Linked DNA regions of Astyanax mexicanus. The protein of the gene in region 1 purifies or fractionates together with the protein of each later gene. This does not show direct contact. Links are inferred from orthologs where the notes say so. Each region holds a gene or a part of one and is shown on either strand. Other genes may lie near its edges. The genes, in order: inpp5ka and gart.

Region 1 (12,923 bases):
GGGGCCAAAGAGCGATCCCGTCGGGCAGGAGAGCAAAAATCGTCGAAAAAGCATGGGCATCAGGCACAGAGATGATGGACTAACTCTAACCCTGAACTATTAAAATAAGTTACATTTTCAATATTCCCAACTCACCTATTAAAATTACAATTAAAACTACTTTTGCAACATTCTTTTCATACTTTTCTCAGACTTAAACATCACTATTGAATAGTGTGATGTATAGTTGCTGTATAGTTGGTCAAAACATATACAAAAACTGAAAGAAAAAAAAACATTTGGATTTTCTTGGATTCTCACTATTTACTCAGGACATGTGTTATTACTGTGGCTTTCACGTTACAGCAGTGTTTCTCAACCCTGTTCTTGCATATTCTTCTACATTTTCCCACTGTTCTGCATTTTCTAGATTTGTCTAAGGCACTTAAAGTAAATGGTGGTATGATGTGTCTAATACACTGCTGGATATGCATAATGATTGATTTATGGTCCGTAGGGGGCTAAGAGATTTTAACAGGTAAACTCAAAAAGGGATCATTTTAAATTGCTTTAAACTACCAGCATGAAGCATTGTACTAAATTCTATCTATCCACAACATCCAGCTTCTAGCTAACAATTTTAAGTCCTGCAATCCTAAAATAACAAGCATTATTTTGAAAAAAATTAAAATGAAATAGTTATTGGCTTTCAAAACTCAAAAAAACTCTAAAAACCCTCCACAGTGAAAAGAAAAAGAAAAAGTGACATCCAATACAGTAGTAACATTTTTACCATCATTCAGCTGCGTTCCCCTACCATCATTCAGGCAAACCAGACTCCGTTCCCCGTTCGTATCACAGTAAACCCACACAAAGAAAAAAAATAAATGAGGTTTCCTGCACACATGTGACATCCAGACTTCCCAAGTCTTCCGGAAGACGCGGGAGTCTACCGCGTATCAAAAACGGCCCCCTGATGGCAGCAAATCAGATAAAATCTCCTGGAAACTAGAACGAGTGAACACAAACGCTCACGCAGACACAGCCTTTTTTCCCCCATTCGCTTGTGGGAAAGAGAGGGAGAGATGGGCACTTCCCTCGTGTGCATATTAATGAAGCGCATGCAAAAAAGAGAGGGTTCTGATTGGCCTGTTCTCTGCAAAGACTGAGTCAGCCAATCAGTTTTTAGTGTGGGTGGGCAGTGTTTTTTTTTTTTTTTTTCAGGTGTGGGGGTACCTCTGTGAAATAAATATTTGCAACTTGGGATGTCTGGTTTAAAGCAAACTATATTTTTAATAAACCACAAAATATGTAATATTAAAGTAATTTTTCAAGTATAATTTAAGTAAAATGTAAGTCACTTTTTTACAGTGAGTGGGTAAACAAGAGCTTAATAGAATAATTTATGCTTAGTTTTGTGTCACTTTGGCAAAAAAAAGCACATTTAAGACGAATTTTTGGATACGGCCTGTCAATTTGTCCCTCTGATAAACTAAGCTGACTTCAAACAAAAACCAAAATAAATAAATAATAATAAATATATAGAATAAACTATATTGTTACATATGACACAGAATACAGTAAATAAATATAAAAATTGACATTTTGTATGGGATAGTTAACTTAAATCATATACTGAAGAAAAATATACAGTGGATAATGAAATGCAAATAAATAAAAAAATATATAGAACATTTTAGAGTCTGTCTTGCACAGTTGACGTGTATCTAGAATAGAAATTATACTGCTCCATTCTATGTAGTTAGGTGGAAACTGTACACACTCCACTCCCCAAGCAAAGGATCCAAGTAGGCTTGAATAGTTAAATGTGTATAAAACACTATATATTTGTGTATAGAACACCATTTTATATAATAGCTGATGTTACAGTAATGATGAAATAGTAAAAGAACGGAAAGTAACAGTAAGACGTTTTAATATGCACAAAGTAGAAGGACTTTTATTCAAGGACTCTTATTATGAAATTATTGGAGCGATGTATTTGTGGTGAGCTTCACTGGGCAGCCGCGGCGGTAGTAGCAGCAGCGCTATGGATGGGAGGAGAGGAATATAAACACGGACCTGAGGAACCAGAGCTCAGTTTACATTAACACTCCTTCTACCGAGTGCTACAGAACTCTTTAGACTCGGGAAAAGGGACAGAGCAGGTAGATTATAACTATATATCCCTTCGTTGTGTTTAAATCGTCTGAGTCTCTGTGTTAGAGATGAGTGTGGTGATAACGCGCGGTTAGCAGCAGGTCCGGGTCTGACTAGCTGAACTTACACAGATAGATAACTAAAGGTTCACAGTGATGGTGTACTGCCTAAACAGCATAACAGTTACATTTTCATTCAAATATATATTTCTCTCTCTCGCTCATTGTTTTTAGCCAGTGTTTAGGCTCAGTTGTTTATTTATCTAAGAGTTAAACTACTTACATTGTTTTAGCTTTTAGTTATAAGTTATAACCTTTAAGTATTTTGCTTTTCCGTACAGCCAGAAACTGAGAAAAAAAGTGCCATCTGCTTAATTTTATCTTGGGTCAGATTCGGGTGTTATTTGTCAGGTTTTAAAAGTTTTAATACAGTCAAGGATTTAGACAGTGTAAATTATTGATGGTTTTGAAGATGTGGGGGGTTTTAATGATTCTCTCTGTACCGTGGATAATGGCATTTTACACTTCTCTTATATTTTACATGAAGTTTTTTACTTTACTGTCAATTAAAAATTCCCTGTCTCTCTCTCTCTCTCTCTCTCTCTCTCTCTCTCTCTCTCTCTCTCTCTCTCTCTCTCTCTTGTCTCTCTCTCTCTCTCTCTCTATGTCTGTCTTTATCTCTAAATAATCATACAGTTTCATTGCTTGTAGATTGCTACACAACAGACCTCATCTTTAGACATTAGTTAACTTCCCTCAAACATACATTCATTACATTACATTAATATTACATATAATGCAAAACCTGTGGATGTGTATGCATATAATACATGTGCCACGTGCATAATTTTAATGCATTTTTTGCCAAATGGGAAATCTCATTTCACCCCTAAATGTTTTTGAAAATTGACCCTTTGCATGTCAGAAATTTAGGAAGATTGATAAGTTAAATACATGCTGATTGCTAATTTTGTGAAGACTAGTACTAATTTTACTATATATCAAGCTACATTACAGTATGAAAAGATATAAATATAAATTTGATTGTAATAAAGACTATGGTGATCATTTGTGTGGACCAGATGTTTATTTTTCATTGGTTTATTTTTTCTAATAAGCCAATTTATTTTTTTCTATCCATTTCAATTTTTTGTTAGAATATTCCTGAATACTTTCTATTTGACAGTTGAGGCATCTTAATTTTAGAGTATAATTTTGTATCACTGATAATGATAAAATTACTTTCAATATATGACAAATTTGTTTCATCAACCATGTTACAACCATGACTATGTATTAAGCAACAGTAGCATTCTTAAGTCAAAAATTTTATGTGAAATTAAGAGTTATGTATTTTGGATAAGATTAGTACATTTTGTTAACAAATTAACAGATTATTTGCAATATTTCTGGATCTAAATATTATGAATATTTTGTGTATTGATAAAGTAAACCTAAGAATTGAGAGCAATTAAACTTTTATTTTTAAGTAGTAGCAGTGGTTTATTGTATATAATGCGTAATGTAATATATTTGCTGTTTGGCTTTGTTTTTGGTTTTATAATTCAGTAATTCTGCGTGTGTGTGTGTGTGTGTGTGTTTGACAGGTGTGAAGATGGAGCAGGAGGAGGCCTTGTCCAATGCCCTGAACTCCATCAGTCTGGACCAAAAACTGGACTCATTCAGGTCACCTTTTTTATTTCTGTCTTTCTGTTTGACTGGTTTAGTATTATGCTCAAAACATGGCAGTGTGAGATATACACACACTTTGTGCTCTGCAGCAAAAAAGCTCAGATAAAATCATGTTTTAACACTTTAGATCCTCATTGTGAACAGTACAGCCTTTCACTTTGGACAGAATGAAAAGGCTAGTCTTGTAAGCAAAAAGTAAGATATTAAGTTTCTCACCACATGTCAGGCTGAACCGCTGAATGAATGGTCTTTGTTTGGAAAAGGGGTCACTTGTAAAGCAGCAGTTTTTATCACACTTTATTGTTCTGATTACAGTCAGACCTCAGCTTCAGAGACATTTCCTAACCTCTAAGTTAGCTTCCTGATTTTACAGCTAAATAAACTGATCAGAACTGACAGCATTATTTTTGACTCTAAGAGGCTTTGCTTTTAGCTATGTCCGTTACTTTTAGTTGGCAGAGGATGTGTAAATGTAACAAAAAAGCATTTTTTTAGGACCCTGAGGGGTGATTTATAGGTATGTTTATCTGAGGGGCACTATGCTTAGCTATGTTCACCCAAGGGCCACTATTTTCAGGTATGTTCACCTGAGGGGCACTATTTTAAGGTATGTTTACCTGAGGGGTGCTATTTTTAGGTATGTTCACCTGAGGGGTGCTATTTTTACGTTTGTTTACCTGAGGGGTGCTATTTTCAGCTATGTTCAGCTGTTTTAAGGTATGTTCACCTGAGGGTTGCTATTTTTAAGTATGTTTACCTGAGGGGTGCTATTTTTACGTTTGTTTACCTGAGGGGTGCTATTTTTAGGTATGTTTACCTGAGGGGTGCTATTTTCAGCTATGTTCAGCTGTTTTAAGGTATGTTCACCTGAGGGGCACTATTTTCAGTTACGTTCACCCAAGGGGCACTATTTTTAGCTACGTTCACTAGACCTGTCACGATACAACATTTTCGGGACGATATATTGTCCCAGAAGTTATTGCAATAAACAATAATTTTGTCATTTTAAAGGGACACTATAGAAAATGCTTTTTTCCTGCATCTGGAATCCCAAAGGAGCTTTAAGACAATGTGCCACATAAAATACTAGCTAGCATAATAATACTATTACATTTTACAGTAAAACTATTATTTTTTTTTTTAAGAACAGACGTTGTGCTTCCAATATAAGAAATATTTAAATATGCTAAATAAAAAAGTACAATATATATATAATATATAAAGTAACAACAAATAGATTAAAAACATTTACATTGATTCAACTTTTTTTTTTTTTTTTTTTTTTAACTCTGGACACAAAGGCACTATTTTCAGGTATGATCACCTGAGGGGCTCTATTTTTAGGTATGTTTACCTGAGGGGCTCTATTTTCAGATACATTTACCTGAGTGGCACTATTTTCAGATACATTTACCTGAGGGGCTCTATTTTCAGGTATGTTTACCTGAGGGGCTCTATTTTCAGATACGCTTACCTGAGGGGAGCTATTTTCAGGTATGTTTACCTGAGGGGAGCTATTTTCAGGTATGTTTACCTGAGGGGCTCTATTTTCAGATACGCTTACCTGAGGGGAGCTATTTTCAGATACATTTACCTGAGGGGCTCTATTTTCAGATACGTTTACCTGAGGGGCTCTATTTTCAGATACGTTTACCTGAGGGGCTCTATTTTCAGATACATTTACCTGAGGGGCTCTATTTTCAGATACATTTACCTGAGGGGCTCTATTTTCAGGTATGTTTACCTGAGGGGCTCTATTTTCAGATACATTTACCTGAGGGGCTCTATTTTCAGGTATGTTTACCTGAGGGGCTCTATTTTCAGGTATGTTTACCTGAGGGGCTCTATTTTCAGGTATGTTTACCTGAGGGGCTCTATTTTCAGATACGTTTACCTGAGGGGAGCTATTTTCAGATACGTTTACCTGAGGGGAGCTATTTTCAGGTATGTTTACCTGAGGGGAGCTATTTTCAAGTATGTTTACCTGAGGGGAGCTATTTTCAGGTATGTTTACCTGAGGGGAGCGATTTTCAGATACATTTACCTGAGGGGCTCTATTTTCAGGTATGTTTACCTGAGGGGCTCTATTTTCAGGTATGTTTACCTGAGGGGCTCTATTTTCAGGTATGTTTACCTGAGGGGCTCTATTTTCAGATACATTTACCTGAGGGGAGCTATTTTCAGGTATGTTTACCTGAGGGGAGCTATTTTCAGGTATGTTTACCTGAGGGGAGCTATTTTCACATACGTTTACCTGAGGGGAGCTATTCAGGTATGTTTACCTGAGGGGCTCTATTTTCAGATACATTTACCTGAGGGGAGCTATTTTCAGATACATTTACCTGAGGGGAGCTATTTTCAGGTATGTTTACCTGAGGGGAGCTATTTTCAGGTATGTTTACCTGAGGGGAGCTATTTTCAGGTATGTTTACCTGAGGGGAGCTATTTTCAGGTATGTTTACATGAGGGGAGCTATTTTCAGATATATTTACTTGAGGGGCTCTATTTTCAGATACATTTACATGAGTGGCACTATTTTCAGATACATTTACCCGAGTGGCACTATTTTCAGATATGTTTACCTGAGGGGCACTATTTTTTTTAGCCACATTGCTTGTTGCTAGTGAAAATTGTATTATAGCTATGGGTAAACTGTAGGTGTAACTGCAGAGGTTACATAATCCCAACTTCACACTTGAACCCTATTTTCAGGCAGGTCCGTTTTTGTAAAAAAAAAAAAAAAAAAACTGTTAATATATGCTTGTTTGAAATATTGGTTTGTCAGGGAACAGGAAACACAATCACAAATAAGTGTATGGTTTGCATTGGGAAAGCGCTCTAAATTTAGTCCGAGTGGTAGTAAAAGTCTTAAAACGTTTCATATTTGATCCCCTCTTACCTGCAGACACCCTGAATAGCTTGTGTGCTCACATGGCTCTGATTTGAGTCTACAGTAATTCTTCCCTAAGCCAGTCTGAAGTCCAGCCCACTAGAGCTCATGTACTTTTGCCTTTTCTGAATGAGTGTGAGCTACAAGCTACCACGACACTAAAGCTGAGAAATTCCTCACAGTTTTCTTTCATTGATTTGGCTGAACTTGAGACTTTCTTAACCATCCTTATTTTATACTAATTAAGTGGACAACGGTCTTGTTCATTATCTTAATTTAAAGATTAGTTGAAGATTGAGACTTCTTGAGAATTTGGATTCGGTGGAGACAGTATGGAGGAGATTACAGAGCATTTCAGCACCAAGGCCCGTCCGCGCTCGGACAGCGTGAACAGCACAGGCACTCAGTCCACAGGCAGCCGGATGCTCCTGCGACAGAGGCTTACCATGCTCATGACCTGCATGGATGACCTGAACTCTAAAGACAGAGTTCATGCACAGGTGTCCAAAACCCTGGATGAAGTGTTCGAGATCTGTGGGCAGAAAGCTCAGCAACGCCAGAAGGATCAGTTCAGGTTTTTAAGTTTTAATTGGGTTTATAGGGTTGCCATTGGTTTCACATAGGGTTGCCAAACAATATTATATTCTTGTTGATGTTAAATCGTTTCTGGTTTTAGAAATATAAAATTTTACTAAAATTTTAAACCAGTACTGAATTATGTGTTTCTAGAATACCAGAATAGTTTTTCAGGTAAAGCTGGGCAACGTCTTTACTTATTGTACTGCATTTGCAGCCATAAAATGTAAATTTACATGTAAATGTAAAATAAATGTAATGCAAATCAAGATAGATATAGTCATAAGTGGACTATGGACAAAGAGAGTTCATGCCCAGGTGGCCAAAACCCTGGATGAAGCGTTCGAGATCTGTGGGCAGAAAGCTCTGCAACTCCAAAAGGATCAGTTCAGGTTCAGTATTAACTGTGTTTTACATAGGGTTGCCATATTGGTTTTACATAGGGTTGCAAAACAATTCTCGCATTCTTCATTCTTCTTGATATTCACAGTCACATGCTTCTTGATTTTAACAAAATTCTGAGTTCTGGACAAAAATTTTAAACCAGTATTTGATTGTGTTTGTTGAAAACCAGAATAGTTGTTCAGGTAAACCTGGGCAACGTATTTACTTACTTTACTGCATTTGCAGCCAGACAGAAAATAAATGTAATGCAAATCAAGATCATTGAAGGTCATTCATTGTTTTTTCAGAAATTAAGAGTCTTAAAAATAGAGTTTTTCTGTTTTTGTTGGAATAACTGTCTCTTCTGTCTAGGTAATGCTTTGTAATAGATTTTAGAGCATTGTTGTGTGGATTTGATTGCATTCAGCTATAGACAAATTGGTAAGGTCAGATACTGATTGATATACTGTGGTTCTTGATCACAAACTCACTTTCCCACCCAAATTTATCCCCAAGATATCTGATCTGATGACAAGCTGTTCGTCTGCATTTGAATATCTGTGTCAGCAAACATTATTTTGATTCAGTTTTTAATAGAAACGTCTTGATGCACAACCCCTCCAGTAAAACTTGGGCCTCTTTACAACACAGTACAAATGTAAGAAATATTTATATTGCAGGTCAAAGGTCAATATATCGATAGCACTTAGCACCTAACAAACAATATATTGTGTAGTAGGTGTGTGCAATATGGCCCTAAAGTAATATCACGATATTTCAGGGTATCTTTGTGATACCGATATTTTTGGCGATATGACAAAACACTGAATAAAAAATAATCAATAATACTCAACTGCAAAAAAAATAAATAAAATAAATAATAAATGGTATTGCATACGATATGATATGGCACACCCTTAACTGAGACAAAAAAAAAAAACAAGAATTTTATTGAAACAGACGTTTATGATCCAGAATGTCCTGATATTAATAATGCACTCCATATATTTCCATATCTCCAGGATTAAAGTAAAATAAATGATACTGGACAGATATAATCTGTCTCTAGTAGATATATAATGGGAAATAAAAACAGTGTGAATTTTTCTTTTGCTAAAAATAGCAAAAAACTAGTACCCTGATGTGTTAATTAGGGGTGGGTAATTAAAGCATGATATTTCAGGCTACAATGTCATTCACGATATTCAAAAATGTTGGCAGTATTGTTGCATACAATACGATATGGCATTCTTAACAGTACAAGTGCTCCAATTGGTTATTTTATTGATGGTGTTTAAGAACCAATTTTGTTCATTTTTGTATAAAGAATCTTTTAAAGTTTTTAAGAAATTGATGAAAAGATTCTTCACTAGTTTGGAGGTTACATCACATCACTTTCAAAAAACAGTTCTTCTGTTTTGTCTCTCAATAAAGCCTTTGTAGCTCTGTTATTTTTAGAAGTGCAAGAGAGCGGATGCATTTTCTTGGAAAAGGCCAGGAAGCATTTTCTGGAAGCCTTTTTTTTTCTTGTGATAATAATAGCCATTTTTGTTTGATACTACAGTTCTTTTTTGTGTTCCTGAAGAAAAAGAAAGACCTTTGTTCAGTCATGGGCTCAGTGTATCTGTGTGTTTGTTGATCTGAAGGTCTGAAAAGCAGAGTTCTTAGAGAGAAAAATTTGTACTGTTTTTGTCACACTAGAAATAGCTAAGATGGATTAGACAGGAAGTCTCAGATCCTGATCTGCAGCGTACTTTGCCTGGAATGTGCCAATTTCTTGAAATGGCAATTTGTTAAACACAAGAATTAGGATAAAACATACCAAGGAGGATAAACATGCCATTCACATTACTCACAGCTTAATCAACCCATTCTACTTCTGCTTTGAGTCGTATTAAAGTATTATGTTTAATTTTGCTAAGTTTTATTTATATCTTTTTTTTTTTTTTTTAAACCCCCCACAGGCTCTATATGGTCACATGGAACGTGGCTACAGCTGAACCTCCAGAAGATGTCAGCTCACTGCTACAGCTTCATTCTTCTAAGAAAGCAGACCTTTATGTGATCGGGTGAGCTTGAAGTCATGCTTGAATATCCATGCAAAAATCTTTTAAAGTCTGAAAGGAGAATTGTTAATATTTTTAAACTGGCCTTTGCTCCTACATTAGATTAGAGGCCTGAATCTCATTTTTACTGTAAAAACTCTATTATCTGCAGAGATAAAAGGTTTTAAACTAGAGAAGATTCACAATTTTTATTGTCACGTCACAGAGTACAGGTGTACATGTGAGTGAAAAACCTGGGTGCAGGTTCCCACTAGTGTGCAGAGAACAGTATTTACAACAAGTAGAATAGTGAAATCAAATAGAATACACAGATGTAAAAAGAGTGACAAACACACACACAACGAAAAACTGCAGAAGTAAGAGGGAAGTGCATTTCCTTAAGAGGGAAATAAAGTGGGCAAAACAAAGGATGAGAAAACTAGGCAGACAATTGGATAAATAAAAAAAGAATAAATCTTTAAAATTAAATCAATTCTCAACTAAGCTTTATTTATTTATTTATTATTTTTTTTAAAGAACAACTAAAACCCTATCCAGATGTCTGAGTCCTCTGAGAAAATTACAGGCTAAATTATCTACTGTTTTTCACTGAACGTTGTAAACATATCTGAGTTGTTGTTGTCACCTCGCGTTTAATAAAATAGCTATTTGTTTACTGCTATGCACCGTAATTACACCTTGTGCACACGTTTCCCCGAATATTCACGTAAACCCAGTGAGTGGAAATGGAGGAGCTACTGAATGCGATGTCGTGACTGAGAAAGCCAAAAAAACACACTGGTCCTCCTTTTTTTTTTTTTTTCTTTTGCAGTCTGGATGCAAACTTTTTTAGTCCAGATAGGGCTATAATGACAGTTTTATTTATTTATTTATTACTTTGTTACTATTTTGGCACAACTACAAATGTATTAAACAGCACAATTTAGATATATCGAATATAGAAATGAATGCTTCTTTTACATTTATCAAAATCAGTCTTTTACATTTGTTTTTATTCAAACCATCCAAGCACAACAAACCCTGCATAAAACAATTACAAAATAAAAAACTAAGAATAGCAAGCAGCTTCCTTGAGCCTAAGAAGCAGTGTTTGTAATAATGATCTGCCACATTAAAAAGTTCTTTACTCTTTACAGGTTTCTGATAGAAGCACAAACCTATCTACTGAGATTCTGTATGGCAGTTTCTATATCTAAAGATGTACAATTTCCATTAACCCACTTTGAACGTTGCATTAAAATAGTCATTTAATTAACCTCTCAGCGCTACTTATGTCGAGTTTTTGACATGGTTTGGTTAAAAAGACTGGCAGCATTACAGGTTTAAAGGCTAATTAGTTATAGCCTTATTAGCCTTTAGTTATTAACCCCCACTACAAACTAAAAGAGCAGGGTCAAGAAATTCAGCCATAGCCATCAATTGGCTGTGTGTAGTTCTTTTCCTGGTTTTATTTCTATGTTTTCCTGTACTACAAGATCACATATAAGGAAACCAATTCTTTTGTGTGTGAATGATTTACAGGTCATGTTTATGAGGTACTGGACGCATATATTCATAACTAAAAACTTGTATATAGTATTGTTTTATGAATATGTGGTAACATTTTAAATAGCTAAGGGCAACCAGGCTTGAGTCCTTTAGCAGATAAGGTCACATGGAACAGTAGATGAAATATAATATTCTAGTTTATAAAAAGCAGTAAATATATAGCGGAAATGTTTAGCATATAGTCGTCCTTTTAATAAAAAGCCATTGGTGAGTTTATGCAGCCAGTGGAAGTCTGGCAAAACTAGATTCACCAGAAAAGTATTCTTGGTCGCTCCACACCCAACATTTGCATTCATGTATTTACATTGTTGAAGCGTGACAGCTGAGAATCAGCAAACATACTGTATACTGAGTCAGTAAAGCACTGTTCATTTAGCACAATTCATTAAGATTATTAAATGAATGTCTCAATAGAAATATAAAATCTAAATATATATATATATACTCAAATATAAGGTAAGTTAAATAGTTAGTAGGTGGTTTAGCTTTCCTTCTATCTAACTATCAGCCACACAATGTTCAGATCACTGTGTGTTTTTCATTTAGTAATGTGACTATGAAAGTCTGTGTATTATACATATTGTCATAAATAGATATTATGTGTTTTTTCCTTTAAACATAAATATTCCTGTTATTATTAATGTAGGTTTTTGCAAACCATCAAAAAAATGCTTATTTATTTATGTCCAGTACGAGTGTGCAGTAAGTGTAAGAAGGAGTGTGTGTCTAAGTGTGTCTACTTGTGTTTTCCCCCAGTCTGCAGGAGGTGAGGGCAGCCCCCCTGAAGTTTGTGACAGACCTGGCCTTTGACGATTCCTGGAGTCATTTGTTCATGAACATGCTGGCTCCTCTGGGTTATATTAAAGTACTGCTATTTCAATACATTTCTGTTATTCTGATAGACATACTTGGATTTCGACCTATGTTGCTAATGGCGTAATAAGCTAATTTGGAAAATAATGGGGGAATAGACCACTGAAGTCGTGCGTCATTCTGTGGTCCTCATATAGCTTCCGTGTTTTTTTCCCGACTCTATCTCATTCTGTGGTAAATAAATCTGTTCAGACCCCTGTACGTTTTACTCTGTGTACATTTTACTACTAAACACCACTGGATCCTCTGAATTACCAGATCGTTTAAGAGTCGTAATGAGAGAAATGCTAGCTTTAAGCTAATGCTACAGCGGAGTGAACTGACCTCCCAGCCCAGCTGCAGAGATCAGCAGGGGACTCTTTTCGGTGCAACACCAGCAAACTCTGGCCATAAGTTTAACTTACAGCATATTACACACAGCTGAGCCAACTAATAAACTAACTGCCCTTACTGAGGAGAGCTGGCTCTCTCTGGGTGGGTAAATGGTGCTCTCTCTCCCCCCACATCCCTCCAAAGGGTAATGTTGATTAGCAGAGGCATCTGTGAGCTGATCTATCAGAACTGAGTCACTGCGCTTTCCTCCGAGTGCGCTCTACAAGGCAATGCTGACTTTACATGTGTCAGAGGAGGCATGTGCTAGTCTTCACCCTCCTGGTGTTGGGGCATCACTAGTGATAGGAAGAGTCCTAATGAATGGGTTGGGTAATACTGGCCTTGTTAATTAGGAAGAAAATGAGGTAAAAAAAAAAAACAACA
Region 2 (12,583 bases), on another chromosome or scaffold:
TATTTTTTACTCAGTAATTGGGAGTTTTACATTGTAGCAAAGTAAATTACTTGTGTCAAAATGTACTTGAGTAAAAGTAAAATTACCTATTTTAAAAACTACTTTAAAAATTACAAATTACTCATAAAATCTACTCAATTACAGTAACTTAAGTAAATGTATTCAACTGAACCATTAGTTTGGTTTATTGTTAAACATGTAAGGTAAATTAAAAAACTAATTTGGGAATTGCAAGCTGTAAACAGAGAAAAGACAACCCAGAATGTTTTTACTGACAGTACTGGTGTTTTTAGGCCTGAGATAGAGAGATATAGATTTTAAAACATTAAGATTTGATATTTGTATTTTTATCAGCTCTATATACACCTACCAGAGTTGCAGATCTTTCCGCAGTCGGCCGTGCCCGCGTTACCCGGGGCCACAAGGACCTTCTGGACGTGAGGAGACTGCGCCAGCTTCCACGCCAACGCATGCTCCCGCCCACCACTGCCAATCACGAGCACATGCTCCGCCATGGCACCTGTCTGTAAAACACAAAACTGACCAATCATGACACAGTTTTACCTAAAAGATTATTTTTTGCATGACTGGGGTTTTATATGGGACTGGATTTATATGGATTTGTGGCGTATTCTACTGGCTTTGATTACTATAGGGTTTACTTAGTCCCACAAAAATACATAATATACATTTACAGAAAATCTGTTCCAGAATGCAACGTGTAAACAAAATAGCACTTAAATGCACTTAAACGTGGACACATCTCCTAAAAGTGATTGGCATTTTCTTTTTTTTTCCTTTTTAAATCAACTTTTGGTGTATAATTACAACATGGGATATAGATTAAATTAGCTGCATTTTGAACTGGATTGGTTATATGGTTCCTGAGAAACTTTTATTTTTATTTTATTTATTTTTTTTAGCACTGACTCCTCCCCCTTCAGGAGTACATCAGGAAACAAATTGACATGTCTGCACAGAATCAGTCTTAAATAAGTTTGTGAAGTTTTCTTTAAATCAGTTTAGGCCTTACAATGTTATAGCTGTCACCTGAGTACGTTTGGTTTCGTTCTAAAATTATAAATTTGTATGTGGCGGCCATCAAGTATAAAAATATCGACATTTTTTGCCCTGGTGAGAATCACACTTTTCCTGAGGAGTTTGATCCCAAACATTTTAAGATTAGTAAAAAAAATCCTAGGACTTGTTCGCACTGTTGTTCACATTGACAAAAGAGTGCTAAAAAGAATTTTGAGAATAGGTCTTACAGTTCTGAAGTTATTGGACAAAACGAATGATGCTTTGCTATAACGCCACCATCAGGCCAATGAGTGTCATTTTGGTGTACCTTGTGGCCAAGTTTGGTGTTCCTCACCCTTAGTGTCTTTGCTTCACATTGATTTTTAACCAAAAAAATAATAATATAGCTCTGGGGGGGGGGGGGAAATGAGAAATGGCTGAAATAACAAAAAAGATGCAGAGCTTTCAGACCTCAAATAATGCAAAGAAAACAAGTTCATATTCATAAAGTTATAAGAGTTCAGAAATCAATATTTGGTGAAATAAACCCTGTTTTTTTTATCACAGTTTTTATGCATCTTGGCATCATGGTCTCCTCCACCAGTCTTACACACTGCTTTTGGATAACTTTATGCTGCTTTACTCCTGGTGCAAAAAAATTCAAGCAGTTCAGTTTGGTGGTTTGATGGCTTGTGATCATCCATCTTCCTCTTGATTATATTCCAGAGGTTTTCAATTTGGTAAAATCAAAGAAACTCATCATTTTTAAGTGCTCTCTTATTTTGTTCTCTTTATGTAATTAAGATAACCTGCTGGGACCTTAATAAATGAGATTAGTGACGAAGAAAAAAGAGAATGCTCTTGATTCTTTGTTTAAATGGGCAAAGATTTCCAACAGTGCACAGGTCATCAGGACACTCCAAAGTTCAGACCTGTAACCGTAACACATATCTTGATAAATCTATCACTGAGCAGCTCTGGAGCAACAGCATGGAGGCATTTAAACATGATTAAATAATCTAACAAAGACACATCCAGGGGGATGTCTCAATTAACTCAATGAATGGTGACCCATGTGTCACAGACCCTTTAAAGCTGTGTAAAATTTCTCACAACACTTTATACATCACATGGGTTATACATAACCCATTATTAACGTTCCTAAGTGATGCATACTAAACAAAGTATTTACAGAATGCTAGGGTTACTGCTGCAGACAAAACCAGTTCCTTTTAAAAGTGTATTTTTTTTACAGCTCTGTTCCAATCATTTAACAATTGAAATACTTTAATTAATGTTTTACATTCCGTACAATAACTAGTTTTTACCCAATTCCTAGAGTATGATGTTAAAATACAAGTTATAATATTAAATTGTTGTGTTATTTGTAGCATCAAGAATTTTATCTTAAAATATTTACTGGTAGTCATGTGGCCACTGCTCACTGAACTGTACGTTCAGAATTAAAGAGCCACTAAACCCTAAATTATAATAGCTGAAATATGTTCCGTTGAATAAAATAAATAATAAAACACAACAGACCTGCTTAAAACTTTTATAAACATTTCCTAACCTTTAAAAAATGCTTTTATTGCGGTACTTTCTGCCTCTGCAGCGCCCTCTCAGGTTCAGCTGTGCTATAGGTGAGGATGATGTGTCTGTGTACTTTGGTAGGCAGACAAATCACAATATGCAAATCAGTCAATCAATAACACCACCCTCCTGCTGACATCCAACCTTACTGCTATTAGAGGCACAGTGCTGCAGCTGCAGCTCAGCCATTCAGCTCCCCCTCCTGTTCTGCCTCTAAACCCATACATCACCCAGTGTCCCTTCCATTTTTTTGTCTTTTTAAAATTTGAGCTGAAGGTGGAGTCAGCTAAAATCAGGCGGTTTAGTGCCCCTTTAGTTTGAAATTTGGCATCAATATTTAGAAATGGGTCTGGGCTCTTACGGATCTGTGCAACATTAAATTATTTTTTGTTACGTTTCATCTTTTTTGCTGCTTGAAACTGCTATGGTACAGTTACTTCTATCACATATTTATAATTGAGACACATATTGGAATATTAATATCATGTACTGGACAATATGGCAACATTTTTTTATCACAATATATTTGTCAATTAAGGTTGATATGATACAATTCCGAAGTTGTTATAAATAAGATAAAAGCCAGCACCCTTGACATACTGATAGAGCTGCTGGGTGACATGGTAAAAATAATATATCATGATATTTAAAGACATTTTCACGATGCGTAGAATTTATTATGGCTTGGCACACAGACTAAATGCACCAGCAGTGGCAGATTCTGCTTTTTTTGCTTTTCAAATACTCCTTCACATTAAATAGAGTGCTTACTATTTAGTTTTTGCTGCACATCATCCAATGAAACAGGATTCTTTTACACTCTCTGTAATGAAACGTACAGTTGGGTCGGTGTTCTTTAAGTACTGATGATATCCTTATTTTTTTTATTATTGATACAATAAGAAAATGTATCACAATACAACAAAATATCAATATATTGTCCTGGTCTTGGATCAATGACGAAATTTGGTGTTAAATTCTGTTTTATTATTATTTTTTTTTCATATTGCAATTTCATTTATTTTTCCAATATCGTGCAGCCCTAATCTAGCAAGATCACCAGTGAGGTAAATAGGGCCATATGGCTCTAAAATAATTTCACGATATTTCAGGGTATTTTTATGATAACGATATACTTGGTGATATAGGAAAACTAAAATAATTAATTAATTTCAGGAATATAGTATAATAGTATGACAGAATAATCATAAATGTGGCAAAAAAAATAATATAGCATAAAATAATATAATGCAGCAAATAATATTGCAGAATATTTAGTGCATGCATATAAACTGCAAACTAAAACTTATATTATACAATAAATAAACCTAAAGCTTCACAGTAAACAGTAGACTACTTTTAAGACCGAACATCCCTATTATCACGATATGGATTATTAATATCAAGATATTTCTGTGTCACGATATATTGTATACGATATAATATTGCCCACCCCTATTGGAGAGCTTTGCAGCCAATAGATTCATGCTCAAAGGAGTCCTATTCTACTGGCAGTACATTTCTACAGGCACTAGATAAGGTTTGTATGTGGAGGTTTATAAGTATATGCAGGGAGTTTAATTGAATGAATAAAGTGACCTATAGAGCACCAATCATGAGATTGGAACCAACATTTTAATAGCTTGAAGAAATTAGTGACCTTTTATTCACACATAAGGCAGTAAATCCATATACAACATAAATGTCACAGGAGCAGGAACTCAGACAACCATACAATTAAATAGACTTATCAATCTGCCTGACCAACAGAAGCACTATAACGAATGTCTGGTATTAGTTCTTAATCTGTATAGAGCCCAAATGCAAGTAATTTCAAGTAACTGTAATAACTACCGTTCTATATTTTTTTAACATTAATTTATAGGCCCTACAGTAGAACCCTGTGGGACTCCACAAAATACATTACAATTCAATCACAATACTGTCTTCTACTGTGTTGTAGAGGCATCTCTAGTAGTCAACAATCTCTCACCAAGAGGTACACTACCCAAAAGGCATCTGTTACCAAGTAATTCACAGTAATGTTCCAAATTGTGTTGTACATCCCTATCTTGCAGTCAACAATCAAAATCAGTCTATTGACCTAAATATGAAGCTGTTAAGCTGCAGTAAAACATGCACTGGATTGGAAAAAAACTATTCCGCAGATTAGTCAACTACTACAAAAAAGTAAATAGTCGCACCTCTATACAGGATTCATACACATTTGAACCATAAATTTCCATGAATTATATAAGTATAATTAAAATTGGTTTTAGTAGGTCTAAAACAAATCAGATAAAAATGTTGACACAATCTTTAATAATAAAATGTGTCAGATGCTGAGAGCTCCATAGTGTCGGGCTAAATTACTGAATTAACTCTGAGCTGACGTATTTGTTGTTAGCTTAATATAGATTTTCTCCATCGATAAACTGAAAAACAAAGATTTGTAGACCAAATTTCCATGACTTCTCCAAAACTTTCTGGGTATTTTTATTTTTCCAAAACTTATCATGGCCTGGAAATTGCAATTTTTTTTTTTTTCCAAACCTTCTTTAAATGTTGCTTTGGGTTCTTTTGTGACCTCCTGGATGAGTTGTCCATGCCCTTTGGAGTAGGCTGATTCACCAGTCTTCCATGTTCTCTTTAGAAATGTCTTTGTAACATTTTTCAAAGTGATAGATGATCAATATTCAGATTATCTTGGTTATCTTTGTCTGAAGTTTGTTTGATCATCCGAAAAATGTAAATGGGACAAAAAGGTAAAAAAAAAAAAAAAAGGTGAAATCTGTAAGGAAGCAAATCATACACCAATAACTGTACCTGGTCCACCTTAAAAAAAGAACCCAGGTTCACAGTGACCCTGTTTGACCTATGGCACAAAAACCCACTGATACAATTCCCAAAGCTTACAAACGATTATTTAAGCATGAATTTAACATGGAAAGGAAGCGACATTAATTTACGCAAAAATGCTACACAAGGCAACCAATTTACTGCAGTGATTAAATTGGTTTGGTGGCTGCAGGCATGTGATTCACGAGGCAGGAGTTAAGCATGTTACCAGCACAGAGCTGCACGCGGACTAACTCAAACGTTACCTGTTTAAAACACAACTGGAGAGTCTATCTCACCAGTAAACCCAGTAATAAACCCAGTGACGGAGAGCTGCAGCTCCATGTGAGCAGCAGGAAGATACTGGTGAAAGAAAATTCAGATGAAGCAACGCTACAGTAACTTTCCTCACCCAGCAGATAAACTCTAAACACTAATCCCAGATCAGTACAGAGGATTCAGCAGGTGATGAGTCTGTATCTCACCTGTTCTGGAGTCAGTACAGAGGGAAGGGAAGGCTCGGGGTGTGCGGTGCTGCTGCTCCAGCTGCGGTCCAGGTTCCAGTGGAAGGACTCGGGTCTGTACTGGTGTGAACTGGGAGTCTGCTCGTGTGGAACTCCTGAAAGAATCGTTTGTCCTGAATCGATTCTTTTGAACTCGGCTCACAAACTCAAATGAATCCCAGAAAGTTTTGTGGCGCTGACGCAACAGGTTTACATGTTAAAGTTATAAAAAAATAATAAAATATATTTTATTCATATTTGATATGTTGTGCAAAAAGAAATAAATAAATAAAAAATAAGCTGTGTCTGCTTTTTTTACATTTTTGATGTTATTGAGACATGCTGTGTAAAATAATAATTACATAAATTATTAATAATAATAATAATAATAATAATAATAATAATAATAATAATAATAATAATAATAGTAGTTTCTTAAGTGACTTAGTAATAAAAAATGTGTTTTAAGGTATATAAACAAGTTTAATTTGACAGAAAGTAAGAGATATGTTGTCAAGTTTTTTTTTTTAATCTTGGATGTTCTTGATTATTATATGTTGCGCAATAAAATAAATATATAATAATAATAATAATAATAATAATAATAATAATAATAATAATAATAATAATAACACATACATACACAAATAATAAAAAAAACAACGATTAGATATAGGTATATGAAGAAGAAAGTAACAATCACAATAGTATTCACACATATCAAAGAACAATAAACTTACAATAGATAAACAGATAAAGATAACAAAATAAGGGCAAAATGCAAAATAATACAAATAAATAAAATAAAAAATATAGAATAATAAAGAATTCATAGCAGCTGCTTAAGATATAAATATACAATATAAACGTATAATATAAAATATTAAATTAATATATACAGTTAGAGTTACAGTTAAAGCTCGCTACTAATAAACTTATACATGTATTTAATCGTATTGTAAAGATTTAATAATTATATATTTGACTCGATTTATTGATTCATTGAATCTGTTGTTAAATTCGTTTAAAAGTGTCTGAAATAAAAAAATCAATTCTTTGAACTGAATCGGATCACTGATCAGTAGGATCGCTGTGTATCAGAATCACCAAACACGTGTTTCAGTTTCAGCGCTCTGACTGAACACCCAGCACAGATAATCCCGTATATATAAATTACTATAATCTATAATACAGCGCGCGGGGTTTACATAGCAGCACACTGATCACATTTATACACACACTTATACACACACTCACACCTTTAACTTCATAACGGCTCTGCTCACACTTCCGCGATGTGTTCCAGGGGCTTATGGGTAATGTAGTTCATTCTGGTCTGTAGTCGCATTAGAGCAGTGGTGGAGGAAAAATACAAACCCTGTGTTTGAGTTAAAGCAAAGATACTGCAGAAATGTTACTGTAGAAAAATGTGAAATAATGTCTTTAAACCTTCACTGGAGTAAACGTAGTTAAATGTTAAATGTTGCATATTGTTTTAAACCAATAGGCTATTTTTCTGTATTTCTGTAAATGTCTAAAACACATCTCCCTCACACATAGCCGCACTAAATCTAATAATAATGGTCTACTTATTTAGTAGAATACTGTGGTTTGATTAAGTGTTTAGGGTGTTGAGTTTTTAAAGTTGAATAAATATAAGATTTTTTGTTGTAATATACAGTAGTGTTAGTAAATATAAATACTATATATGGCCATTTAAAGAACAAATCATATACAGCTTTGGAAATTAAGAGACCACTTCAGTTCCTGAATCAGTTTCTCTGAATTTTGCTATTTATAGGTATATATTCCTATAAAAAATAAACATTGTTGCTTTATTCTATAAACTACAGACAACATTTCTCCCAAATTCCATATAAAAATATTGTCATTCAGAGCATTTATTTACAGAAAATGAGAAATGACTGAAATAACAAAAAAGAGTTCAGAAATCAATATTTGGTGGAATAACCCTGGTTGGTTTTTAATTACAGTTTTCATGCATCTTGGCATCATGTTCTCCTCCACCAGTCTTACACACTGCTTTTGGATAACTTTATGCTGCTTTACTCCTGGTGCAAAAATTCAAGCAGTTCAGTTTGGTTGTTTGATGTCTTGTGATCATCCATCTTCCTCTTGATTATATTCCAAATGTTTTCAATTCGATAAAATCAAAGTAACACATTTTTTAAGTGGTCTCTTATTTTTTCCAGAGCTGTATATATGGTGTATTATTATTATGACTAAGTGACACATACTGAACATCCTAAGTGCATCACTACAGGACAGAGGGTAGTGTCCTGTGTTCTTTCACCTCACCTTATTTACACAGAATATAGGAGTGCTGGAGTGCTGGAGATAAAACTTGTGTAAAAAGTACTTTTTTCTCCTTCTACAGCTCTGTTTTAACCAGTTTAATGATTACAATGTTTTAATAAAATGTTTTGAATTCTTTATAATTAGTACTGACCTGATTTCTGGAACAAAATGTTCAAATACAGGTTATACAAATTGTTGTGTAATCAGGATTAATATATATATATATATATATATATATATATATATATATATATATATATATATATATATATACAGTTGTGGTCAAAAGTTTACATACACTTGTAAAAAAACATAATGTTATGGCTGTCTTGAGTTTTCAATAAGTTCTACAACTCTTATTTTTCTGTGATAGAGTGATCGGAACACATACATGTTTGTCACAAAAAACAGTCATAAAATTTGGTTCTTTCATAAATTTATTATGGGTCTGCTGAAAATGTCACCAAATCTGCTGGGTCAAAAATATACATACAGCAACAAAATTTGTCAATTTTGGTGATGTAGCGAGTTGTGTCAATCAAATTAGCTTCATGTCATGGCCTCTACACTTCTTGTAAGTGATTCTGATTGACTACAGCTGTTGACTTCTCATGAGCCCATTTAAATAGGGCTCATTTGACCCAGTGATTAGACTCAGCTACAAAAGCTACAATGGGAAAGTCAAAGGAACTCAGTGTGGATCTGAAAAAGCGAATTATTGACTTGAACAAGTCAGGGAAGTCACTTGGAGCCATTTCAAAGCAGCTACAGGTCCCAAGAGCAACTGTGCAGACAATTATACGCAAGTATAAAGTGCATGGAACAGTTGTGTCACTGCCACGATCAGGAAGAAAACGCAAGCTATCACATGCTGCCGAGAGGAGATTGGTCAGGATGGTCAAGAGTCAACCAAGAATCACCAAGAAGCAGGTCTGCAAGGATTTGGAAGCTGATGGAACACAGGTGTCAGTCTCCACAGTCAAGCGTGTTTTACATCGCCATGGACTGAGAGGCTGCCGTGCAAGAAAGAAGCCCTTGCTCCAGAAAAGGCACCTTAAGACTCGGCTGAAGTTTGCTGCTGATCACATGGACAAAGATAAAACCTTCTGGAGGAAAGTTCTCTGGTCAGACGAAACAAAAATTGAGCTGTTTGGCCACAACACCCAGCAATATGTTTGGAGGAGAAAAGGTGAGGCCTTTAATCCCAGGAACACCATGCCTACTGTCAAGCATGGTGGTGGTAGTATTATGCTCTGGGGATGTTTTGCTGCCAGTGGAACTGGTTCTTTGCAGAAAGTAAATGGGATAATGAAGAAGGAGGATTACCTCCAAATTCTGCAGGAAAACTTAAAACCATCAGCCCGAAGGTTGGGTCTTGGGCGCAGTTGGGTGTTCCAACAAGACAATGACCCAAAACACACATCAAAAGTGGTAAAGGAATGGCTAAACCAGGCTAGAATTAAGGTTTTAGAATGGCCTTCCCAAAGTCCTGACTTAAACCCCATTGAGAACATGTGGACAGTGCTAAAGAAACGGGTTCATGCAAGAAAACCATCACATTTAGCTGAACTGCACCAATTCTGTCAAGAAGAGTGGTCAAACATTCGACCTGAAGCTTGCCAGGAGCTTGTGGATGGCTACCAAAAGCGCCTAGTTGCCGTGAAAATGGCCAAGGGACATGTAACCAAATACTAATGTTGCTGTATGTATATTTTTGACCCAGCAGATTTGGTGACATTTTCAGCAGACCCATAATAAATTTATGAAAGAACCAAATTTTATGACTGTTTTTTGTGACAAACATGTATGTGTTCCGATCACTCTATCACAGAAAAATAAGAGTTGTAGAACTTATTGAAAACTCAAGACAGCCATAACATTATGTTTTTTTACAAGTGTATGTAAACTTTTGACCACAACTGTATATATATATATATACATATATATATATACATATATACGTATATATATATATATATATATATATATATATATATATATATATATATATATACATATATATATATATATATATATATATGTATATATATATACGTATATATATATATATATATATTTACAGTTATAAAAACATGCATGAGCTGAATGTATCCAATTCAGTTATTTTGGAATTTCGTATTTGATATCAATATTTAGAAATGAACTCCTACGGGTTCATCAGTTTATTAAAATAATCATAAACACTACAGATAAAAAAAAAACATTTCATTAGCTATAACAATCATGACATCGCAACCACATCAGCCTTACCCAGCATCTAAACACTATTAAATACAGGAGCATCTCAAAAAATGTAAATATCATTGAAATATCATATCATTAAAAAAATCATTTTATTTCAGTAATTCAGTTGAAAATGTGAAACTCATATATTATATAGATGTATTAAACACACAGAGTGATCTATTTTAAACATTTTTTTCTTTTATTGTTGATGATTATGGCTCACAGCCAATGAAAACCCAATATATTTTGTAAGACCAACTGGTACTTTTGTCAGTGTGGGCAGTGTGCCAAATCCTGCTGGAAAATGAAATCTGCATCTCCATAAAAGTTGTCAGCAGCAGAGGGAAGCATGAAGTGCTGTAAGATTTTGTGGGAAAACAAAACTGCACTGACTTTAGACTTGATAATAAAACACAGTGGATCAACACCAGCAGATGACATGTCTCTCTTTTTTATTTTTTTTTTTAGAGAGATTTCATTTTCCAGCAGGATTTGGCACACTGCCGACACTGCCAAAAGTACCAATTGGTCTTATATAATTTTCTTATTTTCTGACATACTGATTTTTAGGTTTTCATTGGCTGTAATCCAAAATCATCATCAATAAAATAAACACTTAAAATAGATCACTCTGTGTGTAATACAATGCTGTTGTTTTTGTTCTTAATAAAGCACCACAATCAGGCTCCAGAAGATGGAGGCTTTGATGATGACAGTAGGAGAGAACCCTGGTTTTAAGCATTTAATAAAAGAGCTCGAGCCCTGTTACAATATTCCATCCCAAAAACTAAACATGGTTATAATGAAGATTCATTGTTATGAAATTGTTTTTTTCCACCAACCGTACCGAAAACGTATTGAAAACATACTGCACCGTGGGGTTTATACCGAGGTGTGAACCAAACCGTGAATTTTCTGCAAAGTTACACCCCTAATAATAAGATAAAAATATTTAAGATGCATTCACACAGGTAGAACTGAAAACCAGTGCACTGTGTTGCCATATCCCTTCAGTACACTGATTTCCAGGCTTTTAATTTATATAAATAAATCAGTTTTACACATCTAAAAGTATGATGTTCTTCACAACAGCAGAGTGGACAAGTTTACACAAGTGCAACACGCCAAAACTTCCACCTTTTACCAGTCTGCCAGAGAATACAGTGTTAAAAATCTCGCTAATCGTTTTCGTACAGATTAAAATACTGACACAAAACTTCAATTGCACATCATCTATAAGAAGCACAGCAACGAGCTGCATGAAGGACAAGTCCAGACACGATGCAGATCATAGTGAACTGCTGACTATAACACAGGCAGCTCTGGAGCACCGAGCAGCTCCTGACCAACTGCAGAGTCTCTGAGAGTGAAGAGCGTGATTCCAGAGCTGTACGCTGCGGGGATGGTTATGTGCGTCGTTTTTGGATGGTCCTGATCACTGTGGTCTTCTTCATTTATCATCTGCTTAACTTGACCTAGAAATAATAAAAAATAAAGAAAGCAATCAATGATATGGACAGGAAATAGTGTAGTTCAATTTTACTGTAATAAAAAAAAAAAACACTTAAAATTACAATAAAGAAGTAACATTCAGCAGAGCATGTGGAGCTGTGTTATTCTTTTATATATATATATATATATATATATATATATATATATATATATATATATATATATATATTTTATTTATAATTTTTACTCAATTTTATTTCCCAATTTACACGGCCAATTACTCAACCCACTCATTAGGACTCCCCCTATCACTAGTGATGCCCCAACACACCAGGAGGGTGAAGACTAACACATGCTTCCACTGATACATGTGAAGTCAGCCACCTCTTTTTGAACTGTTGCTGATGCAGCATTACTGAGCAGCATCACAGCGCACTTGGAGGCAGCTAATGGCAAGCTACATCACCAGGATTCGAACCGGAAATCTCAATCTCCTGATCAGAGGGGCAGCGCCTAGCCCACTGGACCACTCGGAGCCTGAGCAGTGCTATTCTCATCATAAATGTACCTCAGCAGTGCTACTTAAGTTACATGAGTGAAATTCACACAAA

The links.
Region 2: the proteins of inpp5ka (region 1) and gart purify together in Homo sapiens (co-immunoprecipitation; 3 studies listed by BioGRID and IntAct, counting the BioPlex papers as one, with this or other methods). This does not show direct contact. The link is inferred for Astyanax mexicanus from reciprocal best matches to the Homo sapiens genes INPP5K and GART.

The regions. Positions count from the first base shown.
Region 1 is NC_064425.1:30,524,237-30,537,159, reverse strand, and holds the start of inpp5ka (inositol polyphosphate 5-phosphatase Ka), read left to right. Parts: upstream 1-6,630; 5' UTR 6,631-7,052; coding exon 7,053-7,294; intron 7,295-9,644; coding exon 9,645-9,749; intron 9,750-12,050; coding exon 12,051-12,159; intron 12,160-12,923. UniProt on the Homo sapiens protein: Inositol 5-phosphatase which acts on inositol 1,4,5-trisphosphate, inositol 1,3,4,5-tetrakisphosphate, phosphatidylinositol 4,5-bisphosphate and phosphatidylinositol 3,4,5-trisphosphate.
Region 2 is NC_064428.1:7,038,248-7,050,830, reverse strand, and holds the start of gart (trifunctional purine biosynthetic protein adenosine-3), read right to left. Parts: upstream 6,083-12,583; 5' UTR 5,937-6,082; intron 525-5,936; 5' UTR 516-524; coding exon 371-515; intron 1-370. Other genes in the region: uncharacterized protein LOC111193577, read right to left, coding at 11,826-11,995. UniProt on the Homo sapiens protein: Trifunctional enzyme that catalyzes three distinct reactions as part of the 'de novo' inosine monophosphate biosynthetic pathway.